Oreochromis niloticus: one gene and its partner. The protein of the gene in region 2 interacts with the protein of the main gene of each other region in a pairwise test. Links are inferred from orthologs where the notes say so. Each region holds a gene or a part of one and is shown on either strand. Other genes may lie near its edges.

Evidence for each region.
Region 1: the proteins of atxn1a (region 2) and plekhn1 interact in binary tests that used the Homo sapiens proteins (3 or more experiments, as listed by UniProt). The link is inferred for Oreochromis niloticus from reciprocal best matches to the Homo sapiens genes ATXN1 and PLEKHN1.

What each region holds. Positions count from the first base shown.
Region 1 is NC_031984.2:21,800,100-21,807,659, forward strand, and holds the start of plekhn1 (pleckstrin homology domain-containing family N member 1), read left to right. Parts: upstream 1-4,551; 5' UTR 4,552-4,561; intron 4,562-4,827; 5' UTR 4,828-4,942; coding exon 4,943-5,016; intron 5,017-6,671; coding exon 6,672-6,762; intron 6,763-6,931; coding exon 6,932-7,093; intron 7,094-7,560. UniProt on the Homo sapiens protein: Controls the stability of the leptin mRNA harboring an AU-rich element (ARE) in its 3' UTR, in cooperation with the RNA stabilizer ELAVL1.
Region 2 is NC_031985.2:20,491,298-20,499,141, reverse strand, and holds the start of atxn1a (ataxin-1a), read left to right. Parts: upstream 1-4,834; 5' UTR 4,835-5,097; intron 5,098-7,844. UniProt on the Homo sapiens protein: Chromatin-binding factor that repress Notch signaling in the absence of Notch intracellular domain by acting as a CBF1 corepressor. Binds to the HEY promoter and might assist, along with NCOR2, RBPJ-mediated repression. Binds RNA in vitro.

The sequences.
Region 1 (7,560 bases), on a different chromosome or scaffold from region 2:
GACACCTGACGTTGGGGGCCTCACATCCAGGCTCCGTTTTAGTGGCCTGAGGTGTGACTTTAGCACTGCTGCTCTCACCCGCTGAGACTGGGTAAACACCAACGAGTGACTTCTGTGGGAGAAACACAGTTCAACCTACCACAGATGGAGGGAGCGTGATATACAGTGTTGTGAAAAAGTATTTGCTCCCTTCCTGGGTTTTATTTTGGCGTATTTGTCACACTTATATGTTTCAGATCACTGAACAAATTTAAAAATCAAAAACCCAAGTAAATGCTTATTTAAAATGATGACTTCATTCATTTTGAAATTCACGTGTAAAAAAGTTATTTCCCCCTAAAACCTAATAACAGGTTGCGCCAAATTTGGCAGCAAGAACTACAATCAAGCGTTTGTCATAACGTTGTATATAGCATTTGTATTCTATATTTATCCTATTGTATATTTTATTCTACTGTATATAGTATTTTATTTTTATTTTATTCTATTCTGTACAGTTGTGTACTGTATTTATTCTTATTGTATTCTAATTTTTGCTTCAGAACTTTTGCACTGTCCACTTCTTGCTGTGACAAAACAAATTTCCCACGTGTGGGACTAATAAAGGTTATCTTATCTTATCTTATCTTAACTGCCAGTGAATCTTTCACATCACCGTGGAAGAATTCTGGCTCACTCCTCTTTGCAGAATTGTTTTAATTCAGCCACAATGGAGGGTGTTGGAGCATGAACGGCCTGTTTAAGATCCTGTCAAACAATCTCAGTCTGATATAAGTCCGGCCATTGAATAGGCTACTCCAAAACCGCCTTATTTATTTTATTTATTTATTTTTTGTGTAGGTAGGCTTGCTGCTGTTTTGGATCATTGCACTTCTGCATAACTCAAATGAGATTGAGCTTCGAGGCATGAACTGATGGTCGGACATCCTCCTTCAGGATTTTCTGGTAGAGAGCAGAATTCATGGCTCCATCAATTACAGCAGGTCAAGCACCAAAGCAACCCCAGACTATCACACTGCCACCACCATGTTTGACCATCTGTATGATGGTCTTTTTATGAAATGCTGTGTTAGTTTTATGTCACATGTAACAGAAGTCAAACCTTCCAAAAAGTTTGAAGTCTTGGATATTTTCATCAAGATATTTTTTAGGTAAATCTGAGACGAGCCTTTGTGTTCTTCTTAGGCAGCAGTGGTTTTCTCCATGGATGCCATTTTTGCCTGGTCTCCTTCTCATTTTCTTATAATGTTCTTATTATGAACTCTTAATTGAGGCAAATGAGGCTGCAGTTCTTTTGTCACTCCATTGGATGTGTTGTCGATGTGTTTGTGGAATCATTTTGGTAGGCTGACTACTGCTGGGAAGCTTCATCATTGTGCCATGTTTTCTCCATTTGTGGCTAATGGCTCTCACTGTGGTTTGCTGGAGTCCCAAAGCCTTAGAAATGGCTCTGTAACCCTTTCTGGACTGAGAGACATCAGTGACTTTGTCTCTCAGCTGTTTCTTTAGATCATGCTGTTATTTGTTGCTTTTTGAGGTCTTTTAGGGTACTTTATTTTGTCAGACAACTTCTATTTAAGTGATTTCTTGATTCGATAACTCTGGCAGTAATCAGGCCTGAGTGTGTTTAGTGAAATTAAACTCAGCTTTCCAAAAAATGTGACTTATTTAGAGCTAACCCGTGATTTAACTTTTTAAAATCATGATTAAACTTTTCACACATGGCTGGGTAGGTTTGGATAACTTTTCCCTCTTAATAAATGAAATTGTAATTTCATATTTTTTTGTGTTTACTCAGGTTTTTTTGTTTCGTTTGATGACTGGAAACATGTAAGTGTGACAAATATGCATAAAGAAAGAAATCAGGAAAGAGTGCTGTCAAATAGCTTTTGACTGCACTATATTTGGAAAATGGAAACAAAGTCGTTAATTTCAATAGAAACTGTTTGGAAATTGCCGTGTATAGCGGACTTGTTTGGAAAATGTGATCCATGAGTCAGAATAAAGAAACTGACTTCCAGATAGGTCTTGTTTTTGACATAGTTCCAAGTATTTCCTCTTCCTATTGAGTAATGTTAAATTACCTGTAGGAGAGTTATAATGCTTCTGTAGTCTCTGTGCTGTAGGCTCAGGAAAGTCCTGTGTTACTACAAGCTTCCTGGTCACATACGTTGTTCAAGGATAACACAGGAGTTTAAAACGCCACCTTTACAGAGACAATAAGCATTACAATGAATATAACAGCGCACATTTTGGAACAGCAGTTGCTTAAAGGTATTCATGATGTCACACAAAGGAAAGTAGCGGTGTATAACGCCTGACCAAACGATGCATAATGAGCCGTTCTTGGATCGCTGGTGTCTGTTGCAAACATGATGAGATGCGGCTCGCCCATTCCTGTTGTTGAAAAGGTGTAGGTACTTTTAGTGACCACACAGGATTGCAAAACACGCCAGGAACAGAAATTTTCACTCCAGCTAATGTGTGGCTTGTTTGTTCTGTGTTCGCTTTATCGCTAATGGGGGGGGAAGTCTGGCCACAGCTTTGATCCAAGGCAGAACATTAGGCATCTTTAAAAGGTGGCCTAACTACATGAGTTAAACTGTAAATATGGATATTTACATATTTGACTTTTGTGCTTCCAGCCTATCCAAAAACTTGTATATTTAGTAACTATATTCAGGCTTCCACAGTTAAGGATCAATTTTGCCAGTACTTCGGGAGCCCAAGATTGGGAAGCTTGAATATCTTTTTACCACCATTTTTCCAGAAAAGTCATGGTGAGATTTAGAAATACTACAAACAGCATTTATGCCATAAAATGTAGGTTCGACCTGAATTATCAGTGTGTGTTTGGGGCAGATTTAGAGCACTTGTCTATCATCTCTGGGTTCTGTCTCATACAACCTGTTTCTGTACTAGATGGTGAAATATCTGGGAAAACTTATTATTGATAAAAAGCATGCGTGATGAGGCACCTGACTGACCAAAGCAACTTAAAGTGGATTTATCTCACAGGGAAAATTCCCTGTTTCATTTTTCCTTTGTAATATTATGACTATGAGTGTGAGTCACTTCTGGCTGCGTGTGTGAATTATCAAATTCATCTTCCTGCTTTTTCCATGATGATCCACAGCCAGACCTGAAAAGTAAAAATAAATGTTAAAACTCCAGTCTGCTTGATTACTGAGTAAAATATCTGTGACATCTTCAGACCCTGTCTTTGGTGATCTTTTGTTTTGGTTGAACTGAAGGTAAAAATGTAGCAACACATGAAAGGTCTCCGGTGCTGAAACCAGGAGGAGACACAAATCACAGAGATTTGTCAGGAAGGGGATCCGGAGTAAAAACAAAATATAATAAGTGGGTCCATGTGCTGTGTTGTCACCTTGTGAATAAGGGAGCAGCTGAAATAAGTTTTTAAATGTGGGTAAAAACAACAAAAAGTAAATAACACTGCTAATAAATACATACTGCTACCGGTACATTATCATTTGCTCACTAGCATTATTTTAAATTTAAAAAGTTAGATATATTCTAAAAGGAATCACATGTTTATTATAAACCTTACATATCATTATAGTATAAGTTATTATTATTATTTCATGATACTCTTAAGAAAAATTTGCCTGGCAACAGCCACATTCAGCCTTTCTTCCTCTCTTTTTGCTTGGGTTTTTGCTTATCTCGATCCCCCCTCTTATCTGGTCTCAATTCTGTCGTCTGCCGCTTACCGAGACGCTTTATATTCACTTCCACTGCTGATTAAATTACTCGAGCCCTCAAACGGGGTTTCAGAGAACATTATAACGCAGTGAGAAAGATGGCATAGTTTGGAGGCTGATGACTGTTAGCGCCTCAGGTGTATCCGTTTAAACAACTGGTTGAACAGGCTGGGATCAACTGACAGACCGCAGCGTGCGCTTAAAATTTATGACACTAGTGCAGCAGCTCAGCACAGACAATGATCTAATCAATGAGCAAACAGAGCGTGATCATGAGTTTTGGGCTCCGTTGTCTGACTGATAAGGCCGCTTGTTCAGGAAGTTGGAAACCTGGGAATTGACATGACACCTTTAACCAGATATGGGTGTTCAGACCTATTAATCCCGAATAACTTCTTAGAGTGACTCTTACTTTTAGGTAGTGGATATTTAATTTGGGAACATCCTCCTAAAACGCAAACAAGATGTGTTTGCATACACCTCTTGCCTTATATGAAAATTTCGGTGGTTGAATTCACAAGCATCCTGTTTCCTCTGCTTGTATCGCAGGATAAGAAAATATCATATTTCATATATCCGTGCTCTGAAAACAATGTGACGCCAGACATTTTCCCCTCTTTGGGGTTAACAGTGATGTTTTGACCCTTTTTAAACTCTGTGCTGTGTTTTATATACAATCTACTAACCAAAAGCTCACAGATACTTACCTTGCAGTAATAAATAGAATACTTAAGTGTGGAGGCATTTTCATGTCTGGACATGCCAGCAGAAGTTCCCATCTTCCCCTGTGATTGACACACACCATCCAGTGTGTTTAGTGGCCAGTTATTGCAGCGGTGAGCCAACAATGAGCTCCATTTGGCTCCAGGAAGGTGTGAAATGGCACACTTCTCCTTGAACCCCCTCCTGTTGGCTTTGTTGTTGGGATTGATTTAGCAGACAGGGCAAGTCGGGGGAGTCTGTGTCCTTATTCACCGAGCACACACACACACACACACACACACACACACACACACACAGCCTGTTGTGACACAGCCCCAAACTCCACCCCCTTTTACTCACACACAGTAGTGACTCTTCACCCTGCCTCCTTCTGCCTCAGTACAAGTCTGACTTCAGCAGTGAGCGCAGCACTCGTCTGGATTAGACTCATCCATCACAGAGGGACTTTACAGCGTATCTACACAGAGGCGCAGACCCCGACACAGGAAAGCAGCATGGGGAGCAGTATGTCATGTGTCCCCCAGCACAACTTCAGATTCTCCAGCAAGAGTTTCATACGCAGAAACAGGTAAGAACTATTCAGTCTCTCCGGGTGCTCATACTGTACTTGTGTCGGTGTGCAAACAGAGCACATGTCATGCCCTTGACAGCAGATTGTTATTTTAGACACTGGCTTTCAACCGGAAGGTATTCTTGGTATTTCTTGAGGGTTTGAGAAGTGGGGTTACACAGAGGTTGTGCATTTTGTGGGGCCAGGTTCAGGATCATAATACAGAATAGTCCCGGAGTCGTGCCTGAGCAGCCTATCTGTCTGGCCAACGGTGTCAATGATCCAGTTACCATTTGCCTCCTCTTTGCATCTCTGTGAAGATGATCTGCCAGCTGTCGATTACTCTGTTTTCCCTCCAAAAGAGGGAACAATCCAAAAAACAATCCAGACTTGAGTATTAACATGATTGATTTTGAGCTGTTATTCTTAAATGATAAGGTTTAGTCTGCTAAGTTAGTACATGACTACGTGACTATGGAGATGGCTGGCTTACACTTGGTTTTCTACCTGGTTTTCTTTTAATCCCCCAGGATTATATGCCTGGGCATGTTACCCTTGATTCAGCCTTGCTAGACCATCACATCTGGTTCTAATTCACCTCTGCTTCTATTCTTCATCTTCTGACTAACGATTCAGGATGTAGTTTGGTTAAACATCTCATGTAGCTTTAAAGTTTTTTAAATAAAAGGATGAGCAGTGCGACCCTAAAAAGACAGTTGGTTTCAAAAGCTCAGCGGCTCAAACTTGGACAGTGATACACCTTCCAGGCAGGATCATTGGATCAGGACGAACAATACAGTCAGTGTTTCTGTTTTCTGTTACCGTACAACCTCTTTGTGTTGGAGAATCAGGCCAGGCTCAGGTATTCCCTGAAGAAAAGGGGAGTGAGTGGTGCTGAATGCCACAGCAGTGACTTGGAGAATGTTGGGTGTGCGAGTCCACTACCTGTCTATTATCTACAACACATTCCCCTGTCACCTTGCAGTTGCAGATTACATCACAATGCAGGACCATTATATTTTTTCACTGTGCATAAATGCATTTTACAAAATTTTATTATTTTATTGTTCAATAGGCACTAATAAATAATTAATTCTGCTCATGGACTTCCTGGACGGACAACCCTTGATTCCCAGCATAAAAACAAAAGCCGGCGTTGTTAAACTGAGGACACTGGCACACATATGTACAGATAAGCAGATAAACTACTAGCGGAAGCTGTAAAAGCAGTCTCTAAAGCCTTATCTTTGCAGTGAGGGAGCTTCCTCGTGAAGATGTGACACAAATGGTAATAGATGAGGGTCATGCAAAACAAAGAGAGACATTGAATGCTGATTTTTCCCTGTGGATATCCTCGCTATCACAAACACAAGACTCAGTTGTTCTTATCATTTAAAGGACTGGCACTGATAGAGTGGGAGCCAGGCATAGGGATGCTGATTGATTTAGGAGGCAGACAACGTGATTTAAACTAAAGTGGGACTTTGGAATGAAAAGCTTTGCTATAACAAACATTAGATTTAGGTTATTTCACTAACTATACATAGGAGACAATATTGGAATCTCTATAGGCGTGAAGTTAGATTGGGAAATAAACCAAACAGCTAAACATGGATTAGGTGGTAAACACTGGAGAGTGAGTATTAACACATAGCTTTCCTTTCTCATGACAGCAGTCGCTTGTTTCGCAAGTATAATCCCCAAGAGGGACAGGAGAAGTCCAACAGCATCATAAATATCCTCTGCACTGTCACCCCGAGGAAGGTACGTACCTCCATCAGCTCCGAAAACATAACGTCATTCATCTACATGCCAAGCAGAACTGCTCGGCTGTGGTTTTCAACCCCTGTGCCAAACTTTCTGACTTTAAATTCAGGTCTGACTGCTTTACTACTGACATGCCCGAACTAATATTGTGACTTGGTGGTTGCAGGAAATGTCCCCTAAAGATCTGCAGACGATAGAAAACATCAAATGGGATCCTCCGTTTGCTTACGACCCGATCAGTGGCTGGAAGAAGAGCAGCATCAATGTGAAGAATTATGGACGGATGATTCACAGCTCCAAAGTTCGTTTCCGCTTCCTCCACTGCCAGGTGAGCGCAGCAAAGCACCTTTTTTTTTTTTTTAAATGACCGTGTGTCGCAATGTCAGGAACACAGCTGTAAAAGAAAACAAAGATCACACTACAAAATCCCCGTTGCGGCTAAAGTCATCTCCAACAATGGCCAAGCCTATGGTGACACACCATGCCAGTCATCCCTGTGGGAACCCAGTGAGTGTCAGAAGCCGAAAAAACAAAAAAACAAAACAGGTGGAGAGTAACAGGATGTGGCTCTGCAGCCACCAAACACAATGAAACTCGCTGCTGGCTTTGACGCACTGGTTGGCTGCGAATGATCCAATCCGTTTTCCAAAAAGAGAACCGCAGCCTGTGTTTGGACATGCTTGCATAGGCTGTGGTTGTGAAACAGCTTCATGAGAAAACCTCAGGGTACAGAGAGAGTGTGTCTGATTCCAGGCACAGATAGAGGCTGGCTCCTCACGGTGGGAACTGCAGTTT
Region 2 (7,844 bases):
AAGAGCTATAATAAAAGGATAAATACTGGGTAATTAGTTCCCCACTGTAATGGGGTAGCCTGTTACTGATGGTGTTCTTGGTGACTGTGGTGCCAGCTGCATTTTTGGCCTAACACACCACCTTTCTCATGACCATCCCATGAAGCGAGATCTTGCATGGAGCTCCAAATCAACGTTGACTGATTCATTTTATACTTCTTACATCTCTGAATAATCGCACCAACAGTCGTCACCTTCTCAACAAGCTTCTTGCTGATGGTCTTGTAGCCCGTTCAAGCCTTGTCTAGGTGTGATATCTTCTCCCTGATGTCCTTTAACAGGTCTTTGGTCCTCTCCATGGTGGTGGAGAGGTTCGAGTGGAAGAAATCCACAATGTGGACAAGCCTGCTTTATACATGTCATGGGTTGAGATTGGGAGTATCTGTAACTGACTGATAGTCAGTCTGTGGGAGCCAGAATTCTGGCAGTGTTGTAGTGGATCAAATACTTTTTCACTCAATGACAAACCTTTTATGTCATGTCTTTTTTCTCGATTTTTGGTTGATTAGAGACTGTTCATTTTGTTGTAAGTAAGCAAACTTAGAAATTTAGCAGGGGATCAAATAATTATTTTCCAGACTCCACAACACTTCATTAAAGTAATGTAAAAATGATTGCAATAATGGAAGTGACTGTGAAGGAGGATCTTAGCTCACTCCTAACCAGGATTGTGGGATGTATGTGAAAAAATGCAGGAACCAGTTTACTAGTTACAAAGCAAAATTGTCTAAAAGGTGTTTATTTTGTGTAATTACAAGCAAAGCTGTGGATAATTCTGCATTTACGCAACTGTATGCTGCAGTATGTGACATGACAGCATGTAGGGAAACACTGTAAACCAATAACCACTTCCACATTTGAACAATGGGGGGAGCTGTGAGTAGCTATGAAACACACCACCTCCCCTCTGTGCACAGAGAGGGGACTTGGACAGAGCGCAGCCTTGAAATCTGAAGTGACAGCTGCTTTCAGAGCATACAGGAGGAGCGCTGCTGTTCTGCTAAAAAAAAGTCTGTATTGGTTTTTTGCAGAGAATGTGAAGAGCTGACACGACGATGCAGAGGTCCACATACACAAATAAGGAAAATGCAATACCACGATGCCTGAAGAGCTGCAGCCCTCAATAGGTGATTGTAGTGTGTAAAGTAGCATGCACTTCAGACACGCTGCTTCTCTGTCACTCTCTGCTGTCCAAAAAAAGAAATGTCCGTGACCATTAAAATCTTTGAAAATCGCTGTAAAGCTGCCTTTAAAGACTGGTGATGATTAATTATATATATCTCCCTCAGTGCCTGCTTTAAGCTCAGAGTGTTATTTATTTATCTGCCAGATAAACTGTCAAATCCCTTATTTGTGCATACTTTGTCTGTTTTGGAGCTGAAATACGTTAAAGCTTATTATTTTTATGTATGACTCATTTACTATGCAGGTACTAAGGATGTCACTCTCTATGTTCAAGGGCTGTTTCCATACACGCCCCACCTGGCACACTTCATTGTACCCGAGTGTATACTGTTCACACCTCCTACAAAGAACACAGGTACATCTCTAGGGAGGAACCCAACCCTCGAAGAATCTGCTCCTCCCATGGGAGTAGTTTTTGATTTATTCCTCAAGCACGCAATGGCCCTGCACTACACACACACTGCTATGGAGTCACGTTGTGCTCTGAACGGTGCAAACCATTCAAAGGGAGGCAATGTCAAACAGAGGGCTGCTGAACTGTCTGCAGAAGATGTTTAGCATCCTATATGTAAAGATTACATCGGCACGTTGTAAGAGCGAGTAGGTGTGAACCTGTGAGTACATGCAGAGGGGAACAAGAAGGTGCAAGTACATGCTTGCGTATGTGCAGGCCTGTGAGCTCGAGAGACACTGAGGAAGTATTTTTATTAAACTGGTGATCTATTTTGAAACGTGCGGTCAACTTACTGCTTCCGCTTGACTCTGGCCTTACACATTTGTTATTATAGGAAGTTCTATTTTAGCAACACGGCGTGAAACTGAAACTACGAGGTGCATTATGGGTGGTAGGTTAGCACAAAAGTGCACATATCACACATCTGGCTGATGTAGTAATGACAACAATCAGTCAAATCTCAACGTATTTAAGTCTCCTTTATGTCTCAAAGTTGCAGATCACTTCCACAGTTTTGATGGCCTTCTGCATGTTAGTGCACTATTTCCCTCACTACTTGGACTACGAGGGCTTCCAGGATCAAATGGCACACATGTGGTCTGGATATTAAATGTTTTTTTTAGTTTTTTTTAAATGAAGCTCTTCATTCCCTGCCTACACTTAAATATCAAAGTCCATTCAGCAACTCGCCGCATCTCTTCATGAATGTAATGCTAGCCCTCTAGCACACAGGGCAACCTACCTCTCTGTCTCTTTGTTTGGGATGCATGTGACAAGAGCACAATAGAGTGCTGGACAATAGGCCACTTATTGAGTGACTCGCAGGGAGTGGGACAGATCCCTGATCGTCTGTCACTCCGCAGCCTCGTGCACCCTTCGGCTCTCGGGCAGTGTCAGGTTGCATTCTCCTCTGACGAAGAGGCAAAGGCACTTGTTGTCACATTGGAAATCTGGGAGAGGTCACAGAGGTCAAGATAATAAAAACACAAAAAAGAGGAGAGGGTTAAGCGGGTGTTTATTTCTTTTATCTTGATAGCTTATTTCAGTGGCACAGCTTAGTTTTTGTGCTTATTTGACACATGCTTTACGCATGATTATAACTGATAATAATTAACTTTGAACTAGAGCGAATTGAATTTAGCCCCCTTAAAGTGAATTAGAGTTAATCGGGACACGAGTGCATAAACATCTTTCATAAGCATGTTTTCTAGCATCACTCCATCATTGTGTTTATGTTTGTAGCTATGCGTGTGTATGTGAAAACAGTCGCTGTCGGCAGCTGAGACGTTCCATCATGTCACTGTCAGCTGACTGTCAGTGACTGCCTTCAGCTGAACAGATCCTGAACTCTCTGGCTTTAAAAAAAAAACATACCCTGACCTTCTTCTCTTCTGAGAAAAAGCAGAAGTTTCCCGGTGCAGTCAAATCCAAGGATGACATGTTTTTTTGCAGCAAGTCACACTGAAAACAGGACTGACCTCGTACCATAAACAATAAGAACAAATATCTGAAGTGAATCTTGAGTTTTTGCTAAATTGCATCCAGGATCCACAGGCGTGCTGCGTGTTATATTTATTCATTCAGACTCCTAATATGCTTTGTGGCTTGTGTTCAGATAATATTCATTAACTTTTATGTTCTCTTCTTCATTTATCACACTTTATGTACTTTGTTTTGCTGCTGTGACACTTTTGTTCCCCTGCATGGGCTAATAAAAAATATCATCTATTCAAATTAGTAACACTAGATTACATAATACACAGATGTACCAATATACTAACCAAAAGCACAGGAAAAGTGCACAACGTGTCACATTATAATTACATATGTTTTACATAATACATATGACATTATTAGATTTAAATGGTTGAAGCAGTGACCTGCAGCCTTTTGATATTTTAGCCAGTGGAGGTGGATCTACTTTATGACTCGTTATGCCTCCTTGCTGGTGACAGCTATGCTACGAGGCATCCTGTTTTCTGGCTGTCCATCTGTCCTTCCTCTCTATGTGAAGGCGGTGTCTCTGGACGTCTGGCACAGAAGTTCACATGCACTGAGGGATGAAAGGATTAGCTTTAGGTGGAAAAGGTCAAGGCCACTACGACTTTGTAAAAATGTTTTTGGCCAGCGCTGTGCAAAAGTTATGAGCCACATTAGATACTGGCTGCTTTTTTGTTTTTACTCATTTTCAGTCCTTGTACGCACTTAACACTGACCTATGAATTAAACGTTAAATTCTGTCTCTAGGCACTTTGTTACTAGCAGGCTGCTGGAAAAACACATAATTTGTTCCCATTTCTTTTGTTGAATCTATGAAAAATACCTAAGCTAACAAAGTGTGACAGACAGGAAACAGTATTTTTACACCTCGAAGAGCTATTTGCTGAAAATCTGGCATGTCTTGAAATGGTGTGCACTGTGTCCTTGAAAAAAATCTGAGGAAACTGGGCAGGCGGTGGACAAAAGAAGAAGTGTCAGGCCTAAAAACAATCTACAGCAGATGAACAGTCTGTCCTTAAGGAATGGGCCCTTCAGCTGATCCATTTACTGTTCACTAAAGCCTCATCAGAAATGGTCTCCGTGGACGGGAGGCTGTCAAGGAGTCATTCTGAGAGAAGGGAAAGTGCCATCAGATTTTATTCCACCAAGCAATACCATTTGAAAATCAGCTGGTTGGCAACAGCTTCATTTCTCATCATGACAGTGATCCCAAACACACTGCCAATGCAATAAATACATACCTGGTTAGAAAAAACAAACAATGGAGGACAATCAGTCAACATTATTGAAGCAGTGTGGGATCATTTTGACACGGAAGTATTGATTAATAGATCCATATTTGTCGAGACCCCCTTATTTTAAGCTTTAAGTATAAATGCCTCAGAATTTTACTTGAGTTATATAAACTCAGTGTTGAGCTGTGCAGGGTTGTATTGTAGATAAAGTGTTTACACTGCTGAGAAGCCACTTTTTGAGTGAGGCTGAGTTAAAAAGAAATAATAATATTAATATTAACCATTCTTCCTCTCCCACAGCGCGCTTTTGCATTTGCTCCTGAAAAAGCAGCCCAATCTCCACTGTGAGTAAAACAATCGTGCCAATAAAGGAATACTGTGTATTCCCACACTCTGGCACTGTCAGCGAACCTCTCTTGTATCTCTGTGACTGCTTTCTGTGCTCCGAGCTCTCATATTTTTGCATGAGTAGTTTACAAACTGCTCCAGTTTTGAACTTCTCTCTCGCCCTCCCTCCCTCGCTCTCTCTCTCTCTCTCTCTGAAGGTGGGGGCAGAGAGCTATTAGCCGAGCGCTGCAGACATCATTAGGAGGGGAGACGCTTTCCACCGTCAGCGCCGGAGCAGAGCAGGGGAGCCCTGGCAACAAGGAGAGACACAAACTCAGCAGCCCGCTACACCCCGCAGTAAGTCGCACAAAACTATTTCCACAGAGCCGCTTTCGCCAACCTGTCACCGCTTTCACGTTGTCACTCTTCTCTTTTGGAGCTGGCTAAATTAAAAAAAATGGCTGGAAGAACTGGGAAGGGTGGCGCTGAAGCTCTGGTTTACTTCAAAGCCTTAGAAAATGTTTACTTCGCACTCTGACCTATTTTTAAGTGACCACACAGTACACGGCCACGCGGGCTGTGGGTGGGTATACTTGTCATTTGGGAACGTGAACGCAAAGTGTTGTTTAAATGGGACGAAAGAGGGGCGGAGGTTCGGCTGGATTCTGACCGAGCGAGGAGCGCGTCCGCCGGGTGAGTTGGGAGTCGGGCAGGCGCTGTACTTCCAGTAACTGCGCCACTCGACCTCGGCTCAAAACATTTCCTCTTTGCAGACTATTTCTTTGTCGGACATGTCCGAATAATGTCGCTTCGGGCCGCATACGTCTTCTTCTGAACTCTTGCCTTACTGACAGGGACTGTCACGGGAAAGCGTTACATTTTTTTTAAATCTACGTTTCACTATCGCGGAAGTGTTTTCTCCACACGAAAGGAGGCGAACTACTAACCACAGTCCACATGATTTCTACAATTTAAAAAAAAGCGTAACCGCAGGTGTTTTGCATGTTTCGATTAGTAGGAAGCATTTATTGTTGCGCACGTAATACTACACAGTGTTTTACATTGTCAGCTGGTTGTAAAGGACATACGGTTTGTGATTGCAGGACTACCCGTGATGTCATTCATCCTAGCATGGACCATTATATAACGGGACTGTAGGGAAGCCTGTGATAGCAAGCTATTTTTACTCTGTTTACACCTCAGAGCAGGGTAGGCTATGCGTCCCAAGTGGTAGCCAATGCTTTCACTCGCACTATAATTTTTTAACGAGCATTCCTAATGGCAGCAGACTGATTGACAAAGTGAATGCTCAAGATTAAAAAAAGAAAAAGAAAGAAAAAAGCTGCACTTCTTTCCACCAGCTGCATGCTTAAGTGTTCCTCTTTTCTGATGATGTCTGTGCAATTTATAGGAAAAACACGAAAAAACAGAAGTGGGTTTGCATTACTTGTTGATTATGTCATTTCTCATCTTTGAAGCCCGTCCTGTAGCCTTAAGCAATGAATGACTGGACACCCCATAGAGTGCTTTCAACACACAGATATCTCAGCAGATAGCTGTGATCGTGGTTAAACTTGCTTTCTATCTAAAAGACTTGTTTTGCTACTTTTTAAACGTGTTACTGAAAGAAATATAAAATATTACAACACCAACAAATTTGAATCTGCAGCTTTCAATAAAAAAAACCCCAAACACACTTTCTGTTTTATTCCATGGTTCTTGTAATTCACTCACTTGCAGCCACTGTGTGTTAGCAAACACTTGCAGAGTGAACCTATAGAGTCAGTGCAGCCCGTCGGCTCCGATGTTAGTACTTTTATGGTGTTGGACATATCTATTAGTGCTGTCGCTAGTTCAAGTACTTCTGTCCTCCGTGGAGGATGCGAGCACAAATGTATGAGTGACCCATTAATTAAATTCCTTGCTTGCTTTGACTCTTGCCTGTAAACACATGTTTCAGATTTTATCTGCACTGCCCATGATTGTTGTTATCCAAGTACTGAAAGAAATCTGATCCCGTGGTTGCCATAAATCCCATATACAAGCTCTTCCAACATTTGTTTCAGTGCAGTGAAACACACATTTAGAAACACCTTCATGTGGTACATGGTGTGGAAAAGTATTCAGAGATCAGTGTGGAGTTACTTTTTAATACCTTTTAATGTTTAATAATAAATAATTCGGATTGTTTATTTATTCAGAAAGACAGCAGGAAAAGTGTGAAGAAAAAATGCTCACTAGTTTGACTTTTGTCTCTCTTCTGTAAAAAAATACATAACCGACACTGGCCAGCCATTTTTTTAGGTACTGGTATTCGGTCAGACCCTTTTAAGCACGCATATCAACGCATTGAGTTGGTGGCTTGTGATTGGCTGTTGTATTTGCACTTAACAACATGGCCATTAAGTCTTTATTAACCATACTGAAACCATTATGTATTTTTTATGTGTGACTGGTATTAAATACAGCAGGTTGGAGAAGAGAGGAAGGGGTCGTATCCAAGAGGTACTCGGAAACACACAGCTGAGCTTCAAATCTTTAACAAGGGATGGATTCATGTATAATGATGGGAAGGATGTGGATAATGAAGTGATTGGGATCCGGTGTTAATCCCTGTGGGATGCCATGGAAAGGTCTTTTTAATGGAAATAAATTTCTCTGCTAGCGAGGTCGACTAGAGGCGTCCAGGAACTGTTCATGACTGAAGCTTTATAGATGTTAATCCACCGCGGTGCATTTTTAGCACGCAAATATCCACCGCTGTATGATGGCTGACAGCGTGCAGCGCGAGCAACTGGTTGCCTTTTGTCCCGTCTCCTGCACGTTCCACAGGCAGCAGCTTTGCCCGAACCACGCAGAATGTTTCTGGTGGTAAGAACGCTTATGAACGGGTCTGTCTCCTGCTCTGTGCTACCTGTGAAAATGAGCAACTGCTGCCAGTGTGCTCACCTGATTCTCCAGACTCTGGTGTTCAGGTGTGAAAACAGGCTGGGAGATAGATGCGTTATGAATGCTTGAGCAGAAGGGAGGTGTTAATGTAAAGGGTAGAGAGTGAAGATAGGGAGGTAAGGAGAGGCTGTTGTAGTGATTTAGGTAGAGTGGCA